4 linked regions of the Caenorhabditis elegans genome follow. The protein of the gene in region 4 interacts with the protein of the main gene of each other region in a pairwise test. Each region holds a gene or a part of one and is shown on either strand. Other genes may lie near its edges. The genes, in order: smut-1, mes-4, hcp-1 and mut-16.

Evidence for each region.
Region 1: the proteins of mut-16 (region 4) and smut-1 interact in a two-hybrid assay, tested with the Caenorhabditis elegans proteins (one study listed by BioGRID).
Region 2: the proteins of mut-16 (region 4) and mes-4 interact in a two-hybrid assay, tested with the Caenorhabditis elegans proteins (one study listed by BioGRID).
Region 3: the proteins of mut-16 (region 4) and hcp-1 interact in a two-hybrid assay, tested with the Caenorhabditis elegans proteins (one study listed by BioGRID).

What each region holds. Positions count from the first base shown.
Region 1 is NC_003283.11:6,095,350-6,099,605, reverse strand, and holds smut-1 (Synthetic MUTator), read right to left. Parts: upstream 2,502-4,256; coding exon 2,369-2,501; intron 2,322-2,368; coding exon 1,794-2,321; intron 1,747-1,793; coding exon 1,241-1,746; intron 1,193-1,240; coding exon 1,025-1,192; intron 943-1,024; coding exon 715-942; 3' UTR 523-714; downstream 1-522. Other genes in the region: crt-1 (Calreticulin), read left to right, coding at 1-136, 192-434; Y38A10A.7 (N-alpha-acetyltransferase 40), read right to left, coding at 2,703-2,859, 2,911-3,249, 3,295-3,395.
Region 2 is NC_003283.11:13,432,527-13,439,363, forward strand, and holds mes-4 (Histone-lysine N-methyltransferase mes-4), read right to left. Parts: upstream 5,020-6,837; 5' UTR 4,988-5,019; coding exon 4,972-4,987; intron 4,923-4,971; coding exon 4,656-4,922; intron 4,605-4,655; coding exon 4,348-4,604; intron 4,299-4,347; coding exon 3,724-4,298; intron 3,676-3,723; coding exon 3,372-3,675; intron 2,942-3,371; coding exon 2,591-2,941; intron 2,313-2,590; coding exon 1,911-2,312; intron 1,858-1,910; coding exon 1,726-1,857; intron 1,361-1,725; coding exon 1,208-1,360; intron 1,156-1,207; coding exon 916-1,155; 3' UTR 524-915; downstream 1-523. Other genes in the region: srd-17 (Serpentine Receptor, class D (Delta)), read right to left, coding at 4-188. UniProt on the Caenorhabditis elegans protein: Histone methyltransferase. Dimethylates 'Lys-36' of histone H3, a specific tag for epigenetic transcriptional activation. Plays a central role in early development and is responsible for all H3 'Lys-36' dimethylation until about the 40-cell stage.
Region 3 is NC_003283.11:6,592,308-6,599,740, forward strand, and holds hcp-1 (HoloCentric chromosome binding Protein), read left to right. Parts: upstream 1-1,886; 5' UTR 1,887-1,918; coding exon 1,919-1,969; intron 1,970-2,026; coding exon 2,027-2,628; intron 2,629-2,672; coding exon 2,673-3,174; intron 3,175-3,223; coding exon 3,224-3,526; intron 3,527-3,577; coding exon 3,578-5,491; intron 5,492-5,538; coding exon 5,539-5,802; intron 5,803-5,854; coding exon 5,855-6,417; intron 6,418-6,466; coding exon 6,467-6,695; 3' UTR 6,696-6,901; downstream 6,902-7,433. Other genes in the region: ZK1055.2 (Nucleotide-diphospho-sugar transferase domain-containing protein), read left to right, coding at 227-309, 354-576, 625-689, 734-901, 949-1,067, 1,114-1,327; ZK1055.6 (Protein F37C4.5), read right to left, coding at 6,948-7,400.
Region 4 is NC_003279.8:10,078,568-10,086,170, forward strand, and holds mut-16 (MUTator), read left to right. Parts: upstream 1-1,591; 5' UTR 1,592-1,594; coding exon 1,595-1,834; intron 1,835-1,878; coding exon 1,879-2,001; intron 2,002-2,042; coding exon 2,043-2,222; intron 2,223-2,268; coding exon 2,269-2,393; intron 2,394-2,845; coding exon 2,846-3,237; intron 3,238-3,287; coding exon 3,288-3,410; intron 3,411-3,455; coding exon 3,456-3,568; intron 3,569-3,648; coding exon 3,649-4,078; intron 4,079-4,277; coding exon 4,278-4,586; intron 4,587-4,636; coding exon 4,637-4,697; intron 4,698-4,747; coding exon 4,748-4,820; intron 4,821-5,355; coding exon 5,356-5,474; intron 5,475-5,782; coding exon 5,783-6,506; intron 6,507-6,799; coding exon 6,800-6,952; 3' UTR 6,953-7,141; downstream 7,142-7,603.

The sequences.
Region 1 (4,256 bases), on a different chromosome or scaffold from region 4:
GAAGCCAAAGCAGATCAAGAACCCAGCCTACAAGGGCAAGTGGATCCATCCAGAGATTGAGAACCCAGAGTACACTCCTGATGATGAACTCTACTCTTATGAAAGCTGGGGAGCCATCGGATTCGATTTGTGGCAGGTAAGAAACTTTTATTCTATTTTTCAAAAATGAAACTCAAACTTTATTTTTTCAGGTCAAGTCAGGAACGATCTTTGACAACATTATCATCACCGACTCTGTTGAGGAGGCCGAGGCCCATGCTGCCGAGACTTTTGACAAATTGAAGACTGTTGAGAAGGAAAAGAAGGAGAAGGCCGACGAAGAAACCCGCAAGGCTGAGGAGGAGGCTCGCAAGAAGGCCGAGGAGGAGAAGGAGGCCAAGAAGGATGATGATGAGGAGGAGAAGGAAGAGGAGGAAGGACACGATGAGCTCTAAGCAAATCGTGCACAGCTTTTCAACTCGCTTCATACAATCGCCCCCACTCCATCACAATTCCCCCGCATTCAAGTCTCTCCTATTCTCTCGGGTTAATTGATTGTTTTATTAATTTATTGAGCATCCATTTTGATGCTGGATAGCCTTTCTTGTTTTATAATAAAAAAATTTTAAAACCTATTTACGAGTTCGATTAGTTCAATGAATATAAAATACAGGATCAGATACATAGAAAAGCGATAAAAACCGGCACAAAATAGGAAATTGATATGTGATTCAATTAAAGTGATTGACGCAACTTCAGCCATTCTACAAGCCAATTGGGAAGCGTTTCCTCGCATTCGAGCATAAAAGAACACAGCTGCTCGATAATATTCGACATTGGTCCGCCAAATAAATGATGCTCATCGATGAGGACAGTAGCTCTTCCACCACATCCATCGCGACCAACTCGTCCGATTCTATGCATGTAGCTCGGAAAATCGGTGGACATTTCCATGATTATTGTCTGAAATATGTGACTTAAGATAAAAAATATTTGGGTCAATAGTAGCCATGTTTTTATCAATTTAATATATATGTAAACTTACCTGTTTCACAGAAGACACATCGATTCCTCTCGACATAATATTGGTACATACAACTCCATGAATGTTGCAAAACTCCAAATCATTCAAAGTGATTGCTTGTTGTTGTTTCAACACACTACTGCATACAGGTTTGAAATTATATCCCATCTGACGAAGTGCCATAGTTACCTGAAAATGTTCTCAATATTTTTAAAATCGAAAGAATAGGGGTAAAACCTGAATAACTCTTGAGACAGTTTCACAGAAAATTGCAATAGTATGCTTCCATGGGCCTTCTTTTGTGCTTCCCATTTCCTTGAGATCATCATCTAACAATTTACAAATAATATTCATCTTAACGATCCAAGGATTCGAATGGATATCATTTACTCGCTGTCCACCAATTCGAATAACTCGTTGAGTGATATATCCAGGCAATCTCGGACAATGGATCAGTGACCATGGATTTTCACCTAACATTCTTGATTGACGTGAAGTTAATGCAATTGAACCATCTTCGTTTCTGTTGTGAGACGCAGAAAAGAAACAAGATTGAAGATTTCTGAGCACATCCTCTTGTAGTTGGTCTAAAACCCAATCAATGTCATTTCCGAAGCATGCAATGTCAATCATTTTATCAGATTCATCCAAAATCATCATTTTCAAATTGTCAAGAAGAATTGTTTTATCCTCGATCGATGCTTTCAGCTTTCCCATCGTACAGAACGCAATATCGCATTGATCTATAAAGAATTCGTTTTTTTTTGGTTAGACGAATGCTGTAACGAACCTTTTGTGAACTGATAGCTAGCAACTAGTTTTTCAATTTTAATATCTCGAATAGGTATAATATCTTCCATATCTATCAAACCAAGAAGAACTTCACAACGATTAAAAAGTTGTTCAACGAGTGAGTTGGTATTTGCAAGAATAAGAATAGTTGGTGATGGCGTGGTTGAAATATTGGTAAGCAATGGTCGCTCCCTCAATGCAATTTCAATCGCCGGAATAAGAAACGCATAAGTCTTCCCGATTCCAGTTGGAGCATCCACTAGAAGTCCTCGGCGGTCACGAATAGCTTGAATTGATTTTTGTTGAACTGCATTCAGAATATGAACTTTTATTCGTTGCAAATTGGCGGCAAGTCGGTGATCTTCTATTGCATGTGCAACCATCCTCTCTGTTCCATAATCAGCTGGAGTTTCTACTCCGTCTTGATCCACCATTATCGTGTTCTCCTCACAGTGTTTATTCAATTTGTCAGTTTCAGCTTTTGAAGATGTGACTGCGCCCAACTGCTGATGACGATCTCTCATTGCTGAAGAAAAGTTATTGAAATATTTAATTGCCCAGAACATGGTTTACCAAAATAATAATCTCTAGTTTTAATAGATCTGAAGTTGAGTACATTTGCATACTTTGGAGGAACTAAATCAATGTGCTCAACTTGTACCCGACTATCGTCTAATGCATCGGCAGTGTTCCAAGGATGAGGCATCTACAAAGATTATTACAAAAATGTTTATATTTTGGTTTGAAAATAAATATTTGAACGAAAAGTAACGGTTTTTACGACACAATATTATAAAAGTAGAAATATAAAAAACGTTTGTTTACCCAAAAAAAAATACATGTAACAATTAAGCCAGAATGAAGATGATAACAAATTAGAAAATCATAGAATCAGAATTTAATATTCTTATGTGCTCGGTGTCTCTTTCGACAGGATCGCATAATCCAGACCAGAATCATCGGATGGGCACGTCACGTCGCTGTTGTATCCATGTTTGTGAAAGAAGCCGAGCGACGGTCCATTATACAGAAAAACTGTTGCCATGACTTTACTCATGTTTGTCCTGAAAATAAGAGTTTTTGTTTATTGGCTCTCGAATTAATTGAAACTGTACTTTGAAGAGAGCTTTTCCAGCGTGTCGAGCATCATGCCACCGATTCCTTTGTTCTGATAAGCCGGTACAATTTGAAGTTCCCAACAATATGCCACAGGAATGTTGTGATCGACCACAAATCGATAAGTGGTATAGCCAATTTTATCCCCTTTCGAATTCTTCGCGATGATGAACCTTGATGTTGTTGCACGAAGTTCGTTTCGCTTGGAATTTTCATCGTATCCCCACTGGGATTTGTGATACATATCGTACATGTTCTCTTTGAATAAACTGAACACCCACTCGAAGTCTTCATCACTCAAATGTGTCGCCCACATGTAATCGAATTTGATAGTTTCGCTGAAAATAATAAAGATTAATTTGAAAATCATTCAAAGATCCTACCCATCAGTTGTAGTACTTCTTTGTGTCTCGCATTCGAATTTCTCAACTGGTTTTATGTGCTGACAAGCTTTTTTGACCAATTTTTTCGAGTCTACGGGCATTTTTGGGCCGATATCTGAAAAATTGTTTTACAATTATTGAGAAATAAAACATGATCGATTATACTGGTGACAAATTGATCAATAAAACCGTAAAGAATACTGAAAAGAAAGGATAGAATCATTTGAAAAAAATGCATATAACTTGAATGTCGTATATTGTGGTGAAAAGTGTGCAAACACCATCACGTCAAGTCACGGATTTGCTTTAAATTAACATTTATATGTAAAAATTAGTCTTTATTGATAAAAATATCGTTAAAATGTACAATTTTGTTGATAATCGGAAACAAATTTACATTTCGTATGTTTTAAGTTGTAATATGTCTCCTAGCTAATATTTTCAGGGTCATTCTTCGCTGTATCATCTGAAATTGAATGCTAGTTAGATATTTTCAATTTTTATTATTAGAAATAAAACAGCTATCCAGCATAAAAAACGATGTTTAATAGAAATATACAAAAAGTGTTACGACAGCACGTTCTTAACCATGCGAAAAGTTCAGAAGTCTGAGACCCGAAGAACTCGGGGGATGTCCAATTGGGGGGATTACCAACTCGGGGGATTGGCCCCGCCCACAGAACCGTGGCTTGCAATACGCCCATTTCTGCAACTGCCGCACGGTTTTAAAACTGTATTTTTCTCAATAGAGCGAGAAATAACAAGAAAAAATAATTTTAAAACCGTGCGGCAGTTATGAAAAACCGTGCGGCAGAAATGGGCGTATTGCAAGCCACGGTTCTGTGGGCGGGGCCAATCCCCCGAGTTGGTAATCCCCCCAATTGGACATCCCCCGAGTTCTTCGGGTCTCAAAAAATGGACGAAAATTAAAATTGCTGTCATACTTCAAACTGAAATTCGTT
Region 2 (6,837 bases), on a different chromosome or scaffold from region 4:
TACCGAATTTGGATGAACAAATCCAAAGCACACTCGAAAAAGTCGGTAACAGCAAAATTGATAATCAAAGTTGCATACGAACGAATTGTCTTCGGTGATTTATAGATAGCCATGTAAATGAGCATTAAATTGAATGAGCATCCAAGTAAAGCCCATATACAGTGCCATATTTCAAAGAACGCGTGCATTATTGAATTGGCAAATGGTGCAAGACTGAAATTTTTAGAATTTTGTCGTATAACAAGCGAACATAAAATAATTAATGAATGAATTATCGCTTCCGCTCAAATGGTTTCAGTCTTCTTTCAAGAAGTCTATCCGAAGATCCTTTGTTATTGTGCATAGGGAAATTAAATGACACGTGGTTTCTCAATAATGTGCATTTTTTTACTTCCGAATCAAAATCTTTAGCAGTGATTCATCGACTCCAATGTCTTTTTTCAAAACAAGTCGTTCCATTGTGTTCTTCTTAATCTTCTCCAGTTTCTCTTTATCGTCATAAAGCAGCGCTTAACTCTGTTTTGTAATTTGCAAAGGTATTTATTACAGATGAGAAAAAAAAGTCGTATTTATCGATATGATGGGACGCAGTAACAAGAACGAAAGAACACATAGGGAAAAAAAAATGACAAGTGAATGAAAGCAATGGTTAAAGCAATAATAAAACCCCTAGTTTAGTGTGAAAATAATTTTCAAAAAAGATGAATAGGAAAGTCTTCGTTATTCTTTGAACGTTGGTCAAATGAATTTCAGCGTTTCCAAAAATTGTGTCGACAGTCCAGGAAAAACTCATAGTACGATTAAAAAGAATGAGGGCACTGTTGATTGAAACTAATTGAAGTAAAATCATAATTTAGTACTTGGAAGACTATTGGAAAGAGTTCAATTGGGCGAGACAGCATATTATTTCACTTTTCAAATCGGTTCAAACCGTTTTGTCTCTTTTTGAACTCGTCCACGAGTAGATATTGCTCTAACTTTGACCTCCACAGTATGAGGTGATGGAACTGATTGTGTCGACAACGCTCGTGCTTTTGTGATAGCCGACTTGGTTGCAGGAAACTCTATCGCTTTTCCGGTTTCTTGAATTGTTTGCAATGATGGCGTAGCTCGTTTCACAGGTGGCGCTTCACTTTCCACATCATCTCGACGGCTCTGTGAATATAATCGAATATAATCGATATTAATACTAATATGATTATCGTACCTTTGATTTTTGTGCCCGTGGTGTTGAAGATGAAGCTGCGCGCGATCGCGATGAAACAGGGCTCAAGAGTTCTTGCGGTTTTTCGTGGAAATTCAACTCTGTAGATGTACTCAATGTTGATCCGGTGTCGGCTACAGGTTGATTGGAATTCTTCTGAAAAACAAATTATGTTTAATGGCTATGTACCTGAATTGAAAATTCGATTTAGACCAAGTTAACTCTAGCAACCAAGGGTGCCATCAAAAATCGAATAATTAAAATTTTCTATTTCCGAAAAAACTCGAAAAAAATGTTTTAAAAATTAACCATAAAGTTCTTTTTTTTTAAAATCAAATTATGTTTATGTTGATGAATAAAATAAGAAAACATTTTTTTAAATTTCTCTCTAAAAAGAAGAACAATTACAAAATTTTTGAAAGATATTTTTCGTGAAAACGAACATTTTCGATTTTAGTGAAAAATCGAAAAACCGACATCATTGCTGGCAGCAATTGATCGATTTAATCTCCAAAAAATACCTTTAAATTTTTCTTATTCTGGGAAATTGGCCATGATGCTTGTTGGACGAAGGAAGTGCTCGACGCGGAGCTTGTGGATGGTTTCGAAGGAGAAATTTCTGATTTCTTAGATGCGGTTCCGTTCTTTCCGGCCTGAAAATAAGAAATAAAATCAAAATGTTGAAACTTAGAAAAAAAGTTGGTACCTCCTGGCTCTTTCTATTCTGATTTTTTACAGATTTCTTCTTGGACGATTTGTTCTTTTTAGCAGCTTTCTCGGAACTATCAGCCACTTCCGGTTTCTCGCGTTTCGCTTTTCCCATTGTACCCATACAGTTTTCAGCTCCACATTCACAGTCTGGTAAGTTCTCCTCATTGTTCATATTGTAACTGAACGTGATCTCGTCGCCGTCGTCAATAGTGCGAATTGCCCGAATATAACTGCGAGTATCATATAAACTGCCTTCTTTGGTTTTCTTAACGAACACTTTTGTAACGAAAGATGCAGCGTTGGGATCGCAAGAATGATTGATGTATCTGGAGATGTTACCGTATCTGGCAGCGTCCACGGTTAATCCTTTGTGCAATTCCATCATATAATGGTTCGCCTTGAAAAAAAAGAGTATTTGGAAAGTTATACGTTGATAACTTAACTCTGATATTTTGCTTCTTAGACCTAAATAGCCCAAATCTACCAAATTTCGTATTTTTTTCTGAAAATGACAATTGGCAAAATATAAAATTTTAGCTGGAAATAGGCATTTTCCCAAAACTTTGAATCGCCGTAACTTTTTTTTGAGAAAATTTCAGAACGTTTTGTTCTAAAATTCGGTTAAAAGAAAAAGTAAAAATTCGTGTTTTTATCGCAAAAAAACTTTTTCCTTACCTGGAAATCTCGCGAAATTGAAACCGAATCCAAGCGCCTCTTCTTTTCAGCTTTATCGATTATTTCTCCAACGTACTCGCATATGTATTCGTCTTTTTCGATTTGACCTTTCGCAAAGACACCGTATCCTTTACACAAAGTGGCTGCCAGTTTGATTTTCTCGCTAACTATTCCCATGGAAACTTGACGATTATGACAAACGCCCTTTTTCGAACAACTCGGGGGACATTCATAATCATCGGCGAGATATTGACACGACAGCTTTGTACAGCGGTCAGCTCCTTCACAATTGCAAACTTCGTTGTTGTGATACTCTTCCAGTTTTGGTTCGCATTTGTAGTACACAGATGTCTGGAATTATGAAGAAATTGCTATAAATAAATCTGAATCGGTTAAAAGTAAGAAAATAATTGTTAAGTTTTTCGGCAATTTTTAGCTGAATTTTTCTGCAGCACTGTTTGCACTTTTGTCCCAAAATGGTCTAAAACTACCAAATTTCGTAATGAGACATTCTCATTTTCCTCCAAAAAGAAGTTAGACGGTTCAAAATTTTGGAAAAAAATGACATTTTTTCAGCTAAAATCTCAAATATTGCAGATCTGACAAATTTCAGAACTTTTTTGTTTTTTTAATTTTTTAAAAGTAATGTTCCGTTGGTTGAGATATTAACTTTCGTCGGTTCCGCAATTTTAGCTGAATAAAAGCCTTTTTCCAAACCGTTGAAAAATACAAAACCATAGTCCGAATTAGATATTTCCTGAAGAATCAGTAGAATACTCACTCTCAGTCTTCCAAATACAGTTTTACACACGTACGGGCATCTCTTCAACGCAGTATCTGCTTGTTCCTCATATTTCTCTTCCCACAAGTTTCTAAGCGTCGAATTCTTTGCCAACGAAAAGTAATTCTTGGTAAGACGGGCGATATCCGAGACCGGCACAATTGACATGAGAGGTTGTTTCTCTTTATCATTTTCTTGGGGTATCAGCCACTGGACAACAGTATATCCAAGACGTTCAAAGTTGATATTACCACGATTTCCAGTAGGGTACTTGTACCAATCGAGTGTTAATGCTAGCCAGAATCTGAATAGAAAATACATGAATTTGATAATTCTGATATTATAAACGCACGAATTGTCCGTCCACTTCGCGAGAATCAATGTATTTTGCGGAATCGGATCTCCACAAACACACGATTCGCATTGATCGTCTGGTATCGGTTTTCCATTCAGCGTTTCCACTTCTCGACATCCAGAATGAAACGATCGGCAACAAGTCTTGCACATGATTGTTTTTGAATTCGAAGATTTCTCACATCCAATTACGCAACACGCTTTGATATGGGATTTCATTGTAACATCCGCTTTCGGAACAACAGTGACGGCGTTTTTTCTTTTTTTATGTTTATTGTAGAATTGAACATCAGCACCAGGTAGATAGTGTGCTGGACAAATTATCATTTCGAACTTCTCCACTTTCCCACCAATTGTTATCGAAACATTCAAATCTCGGCCACCTGATGGATAACACGACGTCAAATGGAAAGCGCGGAGACAGAGAGCACATTCTGCAATATCTCCAACATAAGCCGATTGCTTGTGATGGTCCAAATTGCAACTATTGCAGCAATGAAGAGGGCACAGAAGTCTTGCTTGGCATTCGAGTCGGGCTGCATATTGAAAGTGAAAGCCGCCACTGTTGTAATTCTAAAAGTTTACACGATATTTGATGAAGAAAAATAATCGAATAGCTTACGATCATACAACTCGCGTGAAATTTACTACGACAAGGAAACATTGGTATATTTCCCAAGAGACGCTTGCCGTCGTCCATTTCTCCATTGATGTATCCATGACATGTGATCAAATCAGATTTTCCGGTTTTATCCTTCTCTTCGTGGCAAATCACGCATTTTGAGTCAGCATCTGGAAGAAACTCTCCTTCCGCGTCGGCTTCAATCGGGGTGAATGGCGAAACACTCAGAAACTTTCGTGGCACGTGGGTGAAGGTAGCTGGAAAATTGAAAATTTAATGGACTGCCTGGAATTAATTAATGAAAATACTTTTTGGATAATCTGTGTCAACGAACTCCTCATATTCACTAAGAAATGCCTTCGTTTCCTGTATTTGCATCGAAATAATGTCTTTGGGAGCATTCGTTAGAATCGGTGCTTCTTCTTGCTTGTCTTCTGCATTGGATGAGGTTTCGGAACCCGCGCCTTGTGGAGTAGCATTCCGTTGTTTAACGTTCTTCTTTTTAAAAGGTTTATTTGGTCCTTCTTTCTCAACGATACCGTCCTGTGGAGCACAGTTCTCTTTGCTGGAGTCACCTGGAATTCGATGCATTTTTCGACCTGATTTTCGATTATTTAAACTCACCAGAGCTCGGCAGCATAATTTGGCACCAAGCGCGAGAAGTAAGCAACTCTGAAAATGAAATTAGAATATGAATCGACTTTTTGACAAGTATTAATAAAAGAAAAACAGAAAATGAGACGTTATTCAAGCTGATCGAGGACACATTCGAAAGTCGCGCCTTACAACGATACTCCAAAATGACGGAAGCGCGAATTGTTTAGTTTTTGAGAAATATATGCATTTTTAAAGGAAAACAGCGGAAAACTATCAAAACGGTGATTAATGGAGATTCTTAAGAAAAAAATTTATAATTGTGCGTCCATAGGCTGCGGAAAACGGGAATTTCCCGCGGTCCGAGGCGTCTACAGTGAGAGGGGAAAACGAGGGAGTTTTTCGCTTCGCAATTGGTCAGTTTCAAAAAATTGGGCGTTTCCAACGAATCAGAGGCTGCAAAATTTCAAGCTGAGCAATGAAAAAGCGAAAAACTGCAGGCCCCACCTACTTTTGAATTTTGATAGAAAAAAGGCGAAGAAACTGCACTATGGACGCCTCAGACCGCGAGAAATTTGAATTTCCGTTTTCCGCAAACTATGAACATTCCTTTTAAAAAATATGCCAAGAAGGTTCGAAATCACGGGAAATGCAAAGAAAATCGCTTGCAAAATCCCAAAAAATTGCTGCAAATTTGATTATGTAAATAAGGAGACCCGAAGAACTCGGGGGATGTCCAATTGGGGGGATTACCAACTCGGGGGATTGGCCCCGCCCACAGAACCGTGGCATGCAATACGCCCATTTCTGCAACTGCCGCACGGTTTTAAAACTGTATTTTTCTCAATAGAACGAGAAATAACAAGAAAAAATAATTTTAAAACCGTGCGGCAGTTGCAGAAATGGGCGTATTGCAAGCCACGGTTCTGTGGGCGGGGCCAATCCCCCGAGTTGGTAATCCCCCCAATTGGACATCCCCCGAGTTCTTCGGGTCTCCTATATTCACATCATTCTCGCCATACCTGTGCGGCATTCGGCATTCGGCATATGCCGATGCCGGCATAATGCCGGTTTTTGGAGCACGGCATATGCCGTTATGCCGATTTGAAAATTCACGGCATATGCCGAAAATGCCGTTATGCCGAAAAATAAAATGACCGGCATAACGGCATAATGCCGACATTATGACGGCATTATGTCGTTTTTTTCTGCATTTTTGGCTTTGTTGTTTTTTGTCAAAAACCATATTTTCATAATTTTCGTGTATCCGACGAAACATAAAGATCATGCAAATAGTAAAGTTTCTACGCAGATTGTTCCATTTTTGAGATTTCTTGAAGCTTTTTGCTCGAGCATTTGGAAAATTTCTGCAACAATTTTGGCTTGACTCGAAAATTGTCTGAAAATGCACCAATATGTTTCAAGGCGTGTACATTAAAGGGGGAGTACAGTTTGTGGGTATTTTGCTTAAATAGACTAAAACTGGTCCAAAACCACCGAATTTCATAATGAGACTTCACAAAAAATTTCCAAACATTTTTATGGCCGGTCAAATTTTCGAAAAAAAAAGAGCCAAACTTTGCTAAAATCTAAAATTTCGCACACTTTTCTTTGTCACAGCTGCTGAATTTCTGTTTTTCTGAAATTATCACCCTTTAATCCTTATTTTAGTAATTTATCTCGCGGAAATTCGTTGATTAAGACAACTTTTGGGCCGATAGGCATCCAAAAATGATCAAAATTGGATGCCTAGCGGCCCAGAAGTTGTCTCCATCAACGAATTTCCGGCGAGATAAATTACCAAAACAAGGATTAAATGGTGATAATTTCAGAAAAACAAAAATCCAGCAGCTGTGACAAAGAAAAGTGTGCGAAATTTTAGATTTTAGCAAAATT
Region 3 (7,433 bases), on a different chromosome or scaffold from region 4:
AAAAAAGTAAAAAAACTGGTTTTTTTAAAAGGATTTTTAATATTTTAATTTTTTTTTAATTATTTATGTTAAAACATTCTTGGAACATGCCACATTGCCCTGGATTTCTTTAAAGCCCATATTTTTCGAAAATTTGCCAATTTTCCAAAACTTTGACTGGAAATTTTAAAAACTTTAAAAAACATTTTGGAATGTTTTATTATGACGTTCTATTGTTATTTTTCAGAAACGGTTCGTTGCTACTGCAAAATCCATAATTATGAATTTGTTCTCGCAGTTGATACTGATTTCAAATGTGCTCATAAAGATGTAAGTTCTAATTTTTTTTAATTTAAAAAAAGCTAACATTTCAGAAATTTTTCCGCCGCCACTGTGTTTCCGCAAAGATTCTCCCATTATTTGATGCGATCCTATTCTTAGACGCTGATATTGGTGTTGTGAATCCAAAGCGAAAAATTGAAGAGTTTTTGGATGATGGAATTGATGTTACATTCTATGATAGATTCTATAATTGGGAGATCATGGCTGGATCTTATATTGCAAGAAATACTCAATATGCTATTGATTTATTAAACGGTTAGTTTTTTATTCGAAATTTTTGTGATGAATTTAATAAAATTGCAGAGTTTGCTGATTATGAGTACAAGTTACCAAATAGTTTTCATGGAACGGATAATGGAGCACTTCATGTAACTTGGTAACTTCCTATTTCAATTTTTATTTTATTGTTTAGATTTTCCTTGCCGAAAAGTTGTTCCCACAGGCTTCTGCAAATACGAAAGTATGCAAAAAAGCTTATAACAATTCTAAAAATTTTGATGATCTCTTCACCTACGAGTCATGTATCCGAGCAATATTTGGCGTATCCACTGATTTTGGAAAAGTTAGAATTATGAAAAAAGTAGGTTTAAAATTAATACCACAACATCTACAATATTAACTGTACAGGGAACAGGATGGGCTAAAGACGGCTGGCTGACATCAATGATGTGGCATCCAGAGTTAGATTTCATGTTCCATGGTTGGAAAACGAATCAATTGAGAGAAACGCCGAATGTGAAGCTTGAGTTGGCAAATTACCTGAATTTTTTAAAAATTATTCAAGTATTACAGGCCTAGCCAAATGGGACGAGATTTTTGGTATAATCCTTTGAGTGGGCCTATAGATCTTCAAAAATGTAGTCCTCAAAATTCGACATGGTCATACGATTCACGACTTCGTGGAGATAAAAACGAAATTCTGAAAAGCCTGAGAATGTTCGAAGAAAATGTTGCATTTCAGCAAGTTTTGTCTTATATCCGGATGATGGGTTTATTGTTTCAGTAACCAGCAATTTTAAACTTTAAATTCAGATTTTGTGTATGTATATTTACTTGAATTGTAAGACAAGATATATTTTTGGAATAAAAATTTGTGAAAACTACATAAAACGCAAACGATGGTTTTTAATTTTTTTGTTCCAATCAACCCCATTTTTACAAGGCCACAAACTGCAAAATAAATAAAATATACCGATTTTCACTTGTAGACCTATTATATTTTGACCTTATGGTCGGTAAGAGCAACCGTGCTCCACCGCACATGGCGGGAAGGTTTCAATTTTGAATCACCACGCGCGGGAATCCGGCACTTTTCATTTCGTTCATTCATTCATTATTCATGAACGTTCATTTTCAGTTATCTGACATTTGGAAAATACTGTTTTGTTACTTTATTTGTTGCCACATAACGTCAAAAAGTTTCACACGCAGTATTTAATAGATATATTTCTAAAAACTTATTTTCCCCTTAATTTCCTGTTTAGTACTTTTTTCCTCCTTTTTTCAAATCACGCGCCCTTTTTGATTTTTAATATCCCTTGTGTAATTTCCATAATCATTATTGCTAATTTATAGATAAATCGACGTTTCTTTCACAATGGACGAATCGCCGATATTCGACAACGAGAACAAGCGCTCAGCTGGAAATGTAAGTTGAATTTTCTCAAAATTTTAATTAAATCAATGACAATATAAATTATTTCAGAAGCGCCAGCAAACCGAGTCGCCATTTTCCGCCGCTACGCCTAAATCACGACTAGGAAGAGAACCGAAACGCATTTTTGGAACTTCGTCGGGCAATATGGCCGATAGCAACCTGGAGGAGACCTGCCTCGAGCATGATTCCCGCCCGTCTTCTGCTTCTTCTATCACCCCTGCCGACAACACAAGTCTACTGGATTTGTCTACAGTAACAGCTTTGGCTACTGATGATGCATCCTTCGTGGGAACCAACGATGCTTCCATCACTCCGGGCAGCAATGTTGATGTGAATTTAGAACAATCTGAGCTCTACGACACCTCAAATTGCACGAGCAACCTGAGCATGGTTCAAGAAAGCGACGAGACGGACGCCGATGCCACACTGTCCAATGATTTCGATAATCAATTGGCACTTGACGGAGAGACTACGCCTACTGCTTCTCGTACTCCAATGAGCCAGATTCTGAGCCGAGAATGTACTCCAACAGTATCTAATCCACAGCTTCTCACGGAAATCGCCAAAGGAGTAGATCAGCCTACAAAGCCAGTCCGAGATGTCCCCCAGTCCCCAGTGCTTCCTGTCAAAGGTCACATTGACTTCTCACTGTAAGAAATTGTCGTATTTATAGCTTAAAACAAAATAATTTCAGACACGAGTTTGAAATGTTGGAGCAGAATTCCGAGCATGAGGAGTCAATCAAACTTCTTCAGTCGCAGATCGAGCTTCTCCGTCAAAGTCACAGTCAACAGCTCAGTGAGATTCAAGAAGCTCGAATTTTTGAGGAAAAGATGCTGACTCAGCAAGTAGATTCTGCAATGAAAAAGGCAAAATCTGACCGCGAAGCCGCTAAGGCACGAGAACAAGTTCTCGAGAAACAAGTTCAGGAGTTACGCTTGAAGCTGGAAGAGCCTGACGAAGAGAAGAATCAGTTGGTACACAATCTTGCTGCTCTGAACGCTCAAATCGAGGAGTTGACCCAGAAGGCTTTGAAAGTAGATTCGATGCAACAAGGAGCGACTGCTTCGGAAGATCGGATTCGGGAGTTAATTGGAGGCCATCAAGAAGCAATCAAACAGCTTGAGAATACCAAACAAATGAACGAAAGTCTTCAGCGCGATCTAGTAGAGAAAGAAGCGAGATTCAGTGAAGAGGTTTTTATAGAATTTATTGCCGAAGTAAATTTAATTAATTATTTTTAAGATGGAAAGGATTCGCACCGAATCACAAACAACAAGTGAATCGCTGAAGTATGAGCACGAACTTGTTCGCAAGATGATGATTGAGGATATGGAGAAACTGGAGGCAGAAGTACTCGCCCTCAAATCCCAACAAGCAAACTTGGAGATCCAAGAATTTCACGACAAGATCAAACAACTTGAATTGGAGGTGCAACTGTCGTCTGAGAACAAAGAAAAACTTCAAGCAGAGTTAATGGTGGTACAAGAAAAAGCTTCCGAAAACATCAAGAATGCCGAGGAAAAAGTGAACGGCCTTGAAGCAGAGGTTGGCTTAATTGAATAATCACAAATCAATATATATATTTTTATTTTTCAGGTCGAAAAGCTGCGATTTGAAGCCACCAATAATTCTCGTGTTGTGGAGCTCGAGCAACAACTCGAAGAGTTCAGATCGCTCATGATTAAAGAGATTTCTGATTTGGAGAACCAGTTAGAAGCTGCAAAACTTGAGTCAGGATCCACGAGTGAGCCCAATGCACAGTTGGAGGCATCGCAAGCTACAATCCAGGAATTGACTTCTGAGATGAAGATGCAGTTGGAAGAAGTGAAGAGACAGTCTGATGAAAACAATTCGTTGAATGTACATCTGACATCTTCAAACGAAAAAATTGCGGAACTAACGTCTTCATTGGAGATGGTGGCTGCTCAACTCTTATCTTCACAACAAGAAACTGATGTTGCCGTCACTAAGGTGGAAAATCTGGAGTTGAAGATGGAAGAGGCTCATCGAATGTATTTATTGGATATTGAACTGTCAAGAGTAAAGATTGACGAACTTCAGTCTTCTATTGAGGTGCTTTCAAAGCTTGAACGTGAGGTTCAGTCATCCAATTTGCAAAACGAAGAGTTGAAACTTTCTCTGAGGAATTTTGAAGAACTTCAAGCCGATCTTGCCATGTCGAAAGCAAAGAATGAAGAACTCGAACAGCAAATTGAAGATTCTAGTCGGGAGTTTTCTGTCATCACTGAAGCAAGTAAGGAAATGAAGTTGAAATGGGATTCGTCTGAAGCTCAGATGTCTGAAATGATAGCTTCTTTGGCCGCCTTCCAAGAAGAAATGCAATCAACTCAAGCTGATGCTGTCGCTTCTGAAGATAAAGTCAAACAGGTGGAATCTTTGTTGGAGAATTTGAAGGAACCTTTGGAGGAATTAAACAATCTTCGTGCCAATTTGAAGGATTCCAACGATAAGATTTTGGATCTTCAATCTCAACTCGAATTGGCTCAGCAATCTTCGGATCTCGCTGATCGTCTTCAGGAGGACTTGAGAACTTCAGATGCCAGGGTCCAAGAATTGAATATTCAAGTGTCTGAACTCGAACAGCAAATTGAAGTTTCTAGTCGGGAGTTTTCTGTCATCACTGAAGCGAATAAGGAAATGCAGTTGAAGTTGGATTCGTCTGAAGCACAGATTTCTGAAATGACAGCTTCATTGACCGCCTTCCAAGAAGAAATGCAATCAACTCGGGCTGATGCTGTCGCTTCTGAAGATAAAGTCAAAGAGTTGGAATCTTTGTTGGAGAATTTGAAGGAACCTTTGGAGGAATTAAACAATCTTCGTGCCAATTTGAAGGATTCCAACGGTAAGGTTTTGGAGCTTCAATCTCAACTCGACTTGGCTCAGCAGTTTTCGGATCTCACTGATCGTCTTCAGGAAGACTTGAGAACTTCAGATGCCAGGGTTCAAGAGTTAAACGTGCAAGTCTCTGATCTTCAAAGCGAGCTTGAAACTGCTCGCCAGGACACCAATGCTGTTCAAGTCGTTATGGAAGCTCTTAAATCAGAACAAGGTGAATCGTATGAAGCTCTTCGTGCTGAACTTGACGCTGCTGTTCAAGAAAAAGGCAGATCTTCTGATCTCGTAACTTCGTTGGAAGGTAAAATTCAGGAGTTAGAAACTGCTATCGAGAGTAGTACAGCTGAAAACGTTCAAAAAAGCAAAACCATCCAAGACTTCACCGACAAAGTGTCACTACTTGAATCGCAAATCTGTGAGCTGAAAAGTCAAAATGAGCAGATGGAAATTGATACTAACTTGAATATGGATCAGTTATCCGAAATGTCTTCTCAGTTGGAATCTGCAAACGCCGAGCTCATTGAACTGACGAGGACTTCCGCTGAGACTATTGATAAGCTTCGTGGAGAAGTAGAAAAGTCTACAAAGGCAATGATGGATCAAGAAGAACATCTTGCGGAACTAGTGGCCAAGATTGAAAGCCGAGATGTTGAGGTTTGACGAAATTTCTCTTTTATATTTATAAAATTGTATTTTTTCAGAACGCGGATCAAGCTGCAAAGCACAAGGAAGAACAAGAACGCCTCCAATCCGTAATTGATACTCTTCGGACATCACAGAGTACAATCGAAGAATCTCAAGCCAAGTCAGAGGAGTTGAATTCACGCATTAAAGAGCTTCAAGCATCAATTGAGTTTGCACAAAAGGCCCTAGCTGACACCGAAAACGCAAAGCAGGAGAAAGTCGAAGAACTCGAAAAAGTTCAGGAGCAGATGCTAAACCTCGTGCAAGCTTTCGAAGTGGAGGTTAGTTTAACGGACATTTTTTTAATTCCAAATTTATTGATAAATTTTACAGAAAGCATCGATCCGATTGGAGTGGAACTCGTCTTTGAGCAATGCAAACGAAAAACTCGAGGCTGCAGAGGAAGCACTCTCTCAGAAAGAGAACACGATTGTTACTCTGGAGTCGCGGATCGAAACAATCTCACAGCAGTTTGAGGCTCGCCTGGAAGAAGCAAATGTCTGGAAGTCGCAGGCAATGCAACTCGGCACTCTCACTCAATCGCTTTCGCAAATGCAACGACAGCTTGGAGAAATGCATGAGAAGATGGAAGCATCTGACCGTCGTGTCATTGAAGTCGAAGAACAAGCTCAACACGACATCACTTTGATTCAAGTTGAAAATAAAGAACAGTCGGAAGCACTGGAACAAGCACATTCTCGTATTCTGGAACTTGAGGAAAAGTTGGTGAGGGCTGAAATCGAAATCCAGCGATTGGAGAAAGTTTGTGATGCATTTGATGATGACGAGCGGGAGTATAAGGACAAGATCATGACACTTCAGTCCGAGATCAAGCAGCTGAAGGGTGTAAAGACGCCGCCACGAGTAATGGGACTGATCGAGCAAGCAAGACTTGGGTGAGTTGAACATGTATTAAAATTGACAAGTTGAGCGTTTTATTTTCAGTGTGAAACAACTGAGCCGCGAAAGCTCACTTGTCGAACCGCAAAACTCTGCTCATGAGGATGCCTTCGAAGATGCGCAGAACTCCTTCCAAGATCGTCTTCAAACCATGTCGAATACTACTGCCCGGCAGATAGATGCTTCAAATCATCATCCGGAGGATCACGTTTTGGAGAAGTCGGCTCGCGAAACTCCATCGAAGAAGAATCGATCAAACTGCCAACACCAATAGGCTATAAGATTCTCTCACCCCACTAGATCTCTCACCGTCCCCCACTAACATATGTGCCATGAATACCCGTTCTGAACCCATATTTACTTGTCAAATATTATTTGCTTTTAGGGTCAGAATAAACGGGTTTTTAAATTTATCAACGATTTTTAGTCTCATTAAAATACAATCAAAGAAGATCCTGAATAAAGGTGACGTCATTTATAGTGAAAAAGTGATATATTACAGCTCAGAAATTTCACAGGATTATTATCATTGCAAATTTTCGCGAAGTTCGATGTTCTCTCCTTTCGCATGTTCAACAATCCATTTAATCAATAGATCCTTCGAACTGATAGCGTCTAATTTGATAGTCCACTCCAAGTTGTTATCTTTGTTCAGAATAATTCCAACATTTGGTTCAGCGTTTTCTGAATTAATTTGATCAGTTTGATCAGAGGTAATGCCAACTGGAGATGTCAGTTTCACACGTATCTTCTCATCTGTGCTACGTGGTACATGATGCTTGATTGTTAACAGTACAGGCGGTCCACTTCTTGTATTCTTTACACTAATCGTCTGCTCGGTGGCATGAGTTGAATGTTTTGTGATGTAACCGCCTTCTTCATGGAACTTTTTGGCTGGCTTATATTCGATACGAATGGCCGTGTCCACGCCTAGAGAACAGGTGAATCGTTCACCTGGTGACACATCTTTCATGTGACTCTGAAACATGAATTGCAATAAATTCTCCGAAAA
Region 4 (7,603 bases):
TTGGGTGACGTAGGTTCTTTGGAGACAAAGTGTCCAAAGTGACAAAGGATCCAGTAGACAAAATGGGGTGTATCTTGGGGCCAAGGATCAATGGTACCAACCTTTTTTCAACTAGTTTCTTATATGTATTTTTCAGCTAATTTTTGTTTATATTTCACTGGAAAAAGTTTTTTTAATGCACTTTCCATAGGATTTTCGGTCATAATTCGCTCAGATAAACTTGTAAATGTCCTTTCCGATCGATTTATTCACTCGATTAGTCGTTGAATGTATATGGTGAGTGAGATTATGCGATGCTCAAAATGAATTTTCAATTTTCCCGCCGATACAGAAACTAATTTTGATTAAGGAACATTGTGGTGAGTGCGCGTCTGGTCCCGACGCGAAATTAATTTTAATGCTTTGAAACTTTTTTCTAATATTTTCGTTAAAAATTAAGGTTTATAGCCTTCAAAAATTATATATGGTCTTCAATAATTTTTTATTAAAGCTTTCAAATATTTAAATCTGAAATCTTAACCAAATTTTAAAACTACATACGATTTAATTTGAAATCATACACGTGAAATGAGTGTGACCGTAGTAGAAGCGCCGCTTTGTTTGAGTTGTATTTGAAAAATGTATTTTCTCCTTTTCAACTTTTAAAACTGCGATTTACTTCACCATATTCGTTATTTCTTTTCGTTTTCAAAGTAATTATTGTTTAGCTATTCAAAAAATTACTAAAAAGCGATAAAATTCGAAACAGAAGGTGTTAATTAACATGTTAATTGATCCTTTTGTGGCCTAAAAATAAACTATTTACCGATACACTTTCATAATAGTTCTTTCGGAAAATTAAAGTACTTTTTTGTCGATCGGTTTGAGAAAATGTGCCGGTGAATTTGATTTTATATATATATTTTTCAATTTTAAAAGCCAGTTTATCGTATACAAACAAATTTCTGTTATGTTTTAATGAAGCGACTGTTCATTAGTTTAAAAAACATGCCGATTTAGATGATTTTTTAGTTTCAAAACGTTTTCTTCAATTCTAATACTTGTTTTCGATAGAAATTCAACTTTTCCTGAACGCAATGCAATCGCGCTCTATCGACGTTTCAATGAATAACCGTCAATCATCTGCTTGCCGATCGAATATTTAGAACGCGTTTTATTGCTCCTTAACATTTTTTATCATTATTTCAATTGAAAAAACCATTTAAACAGTTTTCCAATCAGTTTGTTTCAAAATTGCCTTCCAGATCGAATTTCATTTAAATCTCAAGCACTGGAAATTGAAGAACAAGCTTCCGAATTCAAAAACAAAACAAAATATTAACTGTTAAAAATCTTTATAATCTATGATTATTGTTTATTGCAGACTTATCGGCTCAAAATGAAATGAATTAACGCAACAGTGCACGACTTGAAGTTTTAGCTATTATATATATTATTGAGAGACCTTATTACAAATTTCGCTTGTTTGTCCCAGAATCGTAATACTTCCTGGAATAGAAAGTTTTCTTTAATGCCTCTAGCAAATTATCGTTTACTTCTCATTTATTGCCGTTCAAACGTTTCAACCCACTCAAATACTCGATATTTGCAGAAAATGTCCGAAAGTGATGATGATTATCCGGAATTAGACATCTCCGATCAATATATCGATCCATTGGGGATCGTTGTTGGTCCACCACCCGCCTCGTATACGGAAACTGATCGTGAAGAAACTCCCATGCAAAATCGAACTGAAGATGACACTAATAGCTATGGAAATTCATCGGGTGAACATGACTACGATAGTTATTTGGATTCAGGAGACGATGACTTTGACGTGGATGCCTACTATGCGGTAAGATTCGTGTTCGTATATTTCAATTTTATTTTCTGATTCAGAATGACAATATGGATGAACCTCCACCAGAAACGATACCGGACAATCTTATACAAAACGTCATCGGAAGAAATGATAACGCCGATTATGATTTCAGCGATGCAAGTAATCCAGAAATCATGAAGGTATTTAAATACTTATATGATCTCGTGACCTAATGGTTTAGCGTGATCTTCAGCTGTTCCTGAGCTCTTCATTGCTGAGCAATCCATTGAAATTCCGTTCTGGATACTCCTCGGATGAATTGGATGATTGTTTGAAATCTTGTATGGGATACAGTCTTCAAGTAACAGCTGTTTTATTGCTTCCTCCAGAAATTATTTCTCAGCTTCCAAACGATTCCAAGGTAAATTACAATGTGCATAGGGAGACTATAACTTAATTGTTTTCAGACCGAACACGCCCATGCACTTGTACGAGGAGGTTGGCTGCAGTCCAAAGAGGGCGCATTCTTTCCAGTCATTTCCGATTCAGAACGTGAGACTGTTGTTTCGTTGATGAATGGATCCGAAGAACAGTGCGTTTTTTTTGTCACGAAAAGCTCTGAACGACTCGAAATAAGGCACCGGCGATCAGAGAGACGCTATTACAGGCTTTTTTTGTGGAAATTTTTATGTGAATTATTGTTAAAAACAGCAATTAATTTGTTTTTTGCACTGAAACCCCGTCATAATTGCTCTCGTAAATCGATATAATTCCCTATGTTCATGGAATAATCGAATTTGAATTATTTTATTCTTGTTTTGAACATATTTTTTCAAAATCAATAGCGAAATTGCTCAAATTCCATTTTTTTTAATCGAATGACTATTGTGCCGATTCACGAGAGAAATTAAGAAAATATTTCAGTACAAAAAAAAAAAATATATAAGTTAAATATTTCTGAGCTCTCCTTGCCAAATCACCACAAAAAAAACACAGTCTCTTCGATCGGTGGTGTTTCCTCGAAATGGCGTATAAAATTTGCAGGCACAAACGCCAGGAAAGGAAGAAAAAGGAAGCAGATACATTTGAATCCGAAGAGAAGGAAATTCGTACTCTACTCACATTCAACATGATTGCGGAATTGTTAATGGCTGTCAGAAATGAATATAGCATTCGTTCAGTTAAATATCAAATTCTTTCAACTGCTTATACAAATATGGTTACTGGTGCGGCACATGCGAATATTTTTCGAAAATATAAGGATATTCTTCAACTCGATCCAGAAAAACTGTGGAATAATGATTGGTTCAAAGAGTATACAAATCGAGGAACACTGAAGAAGTTTCTAACAACTGCAAGATTTTCTGAAATTGTGGTTTCACAAGCCAACGGCAAAACTGTAGAACTCTATTTTAGAGCTGACGATGAAGGAAACCGTGAGTAACTAAAAATATTTTCGATTTATTTTCAACGTTTGTTCATTCAGGACCAGTTGTTCTTTTCACTGATGAACATATTGCGGATGTTAGGAACAAATGGAAAACCGGCAATCAGAGAAATCAGAACTACGGAAGCCAAGGCAATTATAGGGCCGGTGGACAGAGATCAGGTACATTGCATTTTTTGTGATTATCTAAAAATCTTTCTTTTCTAGATGATCGTCGTGGTCCACAACAACGCAGAAATGTAATTGTACCAGATCCGAATTATCAACCATCGACTTTTGCTGGGGGCATTTCTAACAATGCAGATGATGATGGATCGTTGGTGAGTGCGATAAAAAAAACATTCATTATTCACAAAATTCTTTGTGTGCAATATAGAAATGAAATTTATGTGATTTTCAGCAACCAACAACTTCATCGCACTTTAATCGAAATACTGATCGGTCAACATCTCGTCCTCCACGTGCACCCACTTCTCCAGTCAATCGTGTGATGGAAACAGATCCACTAATGGGCCAAGGCACTTCGTCCGGAGCCCCTCAACGATCCGCGATTCCGAATCCATTTGGTGGAGCACCAGCTCTTAGCAGAAGCACAATCACCAATGGTAACCGTGGTCCTTCATATGGAGATCGTGGTGAGCGTGTTCAAGATGTCGGTGATACGACATCAGATAGTGAAATCACTTCTGAAGGATCCTACTCTGATGAAGATCCCGAGCAAAAGGAGATTAAGCGTCAAAGAAGAAAGGATAAACTTAAAAAGAAACAGGAAAGAGAACTAAGAAGTCGTGAGAAGCACACGAAGTCTAAGCAGCAACCTCCTTCGAAAAGTACGAATTTTATCATTTCCAAAGCGGAGTTTAGTGAATGGGGATGATGCTTCGTTTTTTTTCATTTTTCTATTGTGGTATTTCTGAACTTGAGACTATTTTAAATTTTTGAACTTTCAAACACCAACGATATTCCGCCTTACAAAAATTTTCCAAAATCACCAATTTGAACTATTAAATTTATGAAAATCTATTTCAGTTGAGACTCGATTCAATACGTACAAGAAAAAATCAGAATCATCTGCTACTGACACTTCCAATACACCTCCAGTTGACACTGTGAATGTAGCTCTCCCGACTCCAGTAGTAGAATCGTCTTCTACGACCGCAGCACCGTCAATCCCTGTTTCGACACGTCCTGAAGTCGTCGTTCCACCTGAGAATCCAGCTCCACTCAGAGAAGTCGGAAATTTCTACTCTAAATCGAATCACGACGAGGATAGACGCAATGTTCAACTTCCTTTCACACCAGCGGATACGCACAAACCGATTAAAGTTGCGCCAAAAGGTATTTTAAGCAGTTTAGGACTCGTCTTAATAGCCTAAAATCAGTTTCAGAGCCTGTACGGAATCCGCTTTTGAAAGAACGACCTTCAGCCAATGGTTTCATCAACAGAAGGTTCCTAGCTTTAAAATTTAATCTTTCAATTACCAAAAAAATTATTGCAGACTGCCATCACATCCAGCACCACCACCAGTCAACCAAAGTCAACCAGCCAATCAACCAATGCAAACAGCTGTGGTAATTTCATTTTTAATAATATTTTAAGTCTAAACATTCTATCCACACTTACGTTAGAAAAAATTGTTAGAAAAATCTAATGCCTCCGTGCATTTCTGTACCACTGAAATTTCATAGTGATCCAATTTTAATGACCGTAGTCTTGAGAACTTTGACTGTGTATCTACAACAAATATTTGAAAATTTGCGAAAAATTGTTCACATGATTACATTTTCGATCTATTTTTGCTGTTTTCGAAATAGTTTTGCTTCACAGTTCGGATAAAGTTGAGAGAAATGTGAAATTATAATTTATTGAGTTCTCTGGAAGACAGAAAAAATTAACAGAAAAACTGAAAGAAAACAGTATTGTTCACGTGAACAAGAATTGGGACATTCTTTTAAAAGACTGAAGATCTTTTCCATTAATTTATTGTCCAACACAGTCAGAAACTTTTCGAAGTGATGCGTTGGGTATTTGAACCATATTTCTTTAACCATGTTCGTTTTTTTCTCAAATCCTACAAGTTTGAAGTCATAATCATTATCTTTTCAGTATCAAAACTCTCATCCGGGTGCACCATATATCCCTCAACAGCCAACATATCAGCCACAGCTTCCTGTACAACAACCTCAACCACATCAATATGCGCCTCAACCAATACATCATCAACAGTAAGGATTATACTTAAAAATTCATTCCAAAAGTTAAATAAAGAACGCTCAAATGGACCCAAATCGAATTTTTTGATAAGATTTCGCAAAAATTTCCGAAATAAAAAAACTCTTTTTCGGTTAATAAATTCATAAATTTGACAATATTTTCAAGAAATTTGATATTATTTGACCATCTTTAAAAGTAATGTAAAACAATTCGCGTAATAATTGTAGTCTTGGGGTTTTCATGCAAGCAAAAGACATATCCTTTTTTGCTAAAATTGAGAAAAAAAAACAGAAAAATTCACAAAACTAACATTTTTCAGGCCAATCCACCAACCGATGCACGGCCAACAGTATCCGCCAGTTAATCAGCAGCAACCAATCTATCAACAACCGGCACCACAGTATCCACCATACAATTCAATTCAGAACAACCCTCAACATGGTCCTTCTCCATTTAATTATTCTCAAGTGCCACAACCTGCTTATAATCACGTTGGCCAACAACCATCACATATGAGCAATCAACCTCATATCAATCAAAATGGATATCAAAATTCGTACAATCCGAATCAGGGTCCGACTTCTTCCGATCCAAATTATGGATGTAATCCACAATTCAATCATTATGGCAGTAGATCAGTTTATCATGAAGATCATTCATCACAAAGAAGAAGATCACCTGATCAGTTTCCACCAAATCCTCCAGAATACGATCCACACGGAAACTTCAAACTTGCTGATTATGAAAGAGATCGAATGACAGTCGGATACAGTCAAAATCCACATCAATTTGACCATCACGGAAGTCATATGCCTCATCAGTCACAACCACAAGGATATGACAATTTTAACGGAAATTCTGCGCCGTACTTTAATAAAAACGGAGGACAATCAAACCATCAACCGGAAGCTCAAAGATCTTTTAGTGTTCTCTCTTCGAATCGTCAGCCATCGAACAGGGAATTAATATTTCAAGATGGAATTGAGAAGGAATTGAGAGATATAATTCTCCGTTATCGAAGCATGAACTTGACAGTATTGACAGTAAGTAGTAATTTTCGTTGAAAGTTTCAATTTGTTCTACGATGTGATATTAGTAATTATATAAAAAGTATTACGAGAAAATTTGATTGACACATACGAAAAAAATCTTTAAAAATAAAGAGTATTTTCAAATCATCTCTACACTATATTTTCGTATAATTAAAACAAGCTTTTTACTTCGAAAAATGCCATGTTTTTTCTTTCAAAAAGACTTCTTGATTAGAGTAACTGTACCAATTTTATGTTAAGTTTTTTTAATGAAAAGGTTTTCGTTAAAAGTGAATTATTTTCAGGTACAAGAACTGAGAACAGAAGTGAGCAGACGTCCTGCTATTCCTCGGTACATTGATATTGTCCAATATATTAGAGATTCTTCATCGGTTGCTATAGTGGAAAGAGGTGACATTGAGCCGTATGTCGTTTTGAAAGATGATATCCGAAACTAAGAATTTACTTGTTCCTATTACTGTTCCATTTTTATTTGTATTCACCCACTCGTCTCAATTTTTTCATTTTTTCTAAACCCATGTTTTTTTTTTTTAATTTTCGTTCTTATTGACTGCCTACTGATTATTACCTGTTTTTTCATACTTGAATCGCCAAACTTTCCTAATTAATATTTTTACGAGTCCAAATTTGTGTTTTAATATTTATAAAAAGTAGAAGAACCGGGAGTCAACTGATAATAATAATACTGCACGAATATTGGTGGTGACGGTGACAATTCAAAACAGGGATACGTGTCTCTGGGAAAGGGATGAAGGGAAAACTCGGGTTGAAAATTGGAACGAAGGCACTGGATGGAGGATGAGGGATGCACGTTTTCAGTATTTGGGGGTGATTGCTTCAGAATTGGCAACTTTTTGAATCTAATTACTGTTTTCCTTTTCTTTGGAATTTCAGAAATATTAGATTCAAAAAGAGAAAATAGCTCGTATTTACAGCATAATTATACTAAAACGAATGACAAAGTGCAACTACGTAGGGGAAAAATACAAGAAAACACAAAATGACAAATTTTGCAAATTTTGGTGAAACTATTTTGGAGAAAAATGTTGTCCAAAAAAGGATACACACTACGACGGTTTTGAAACTAA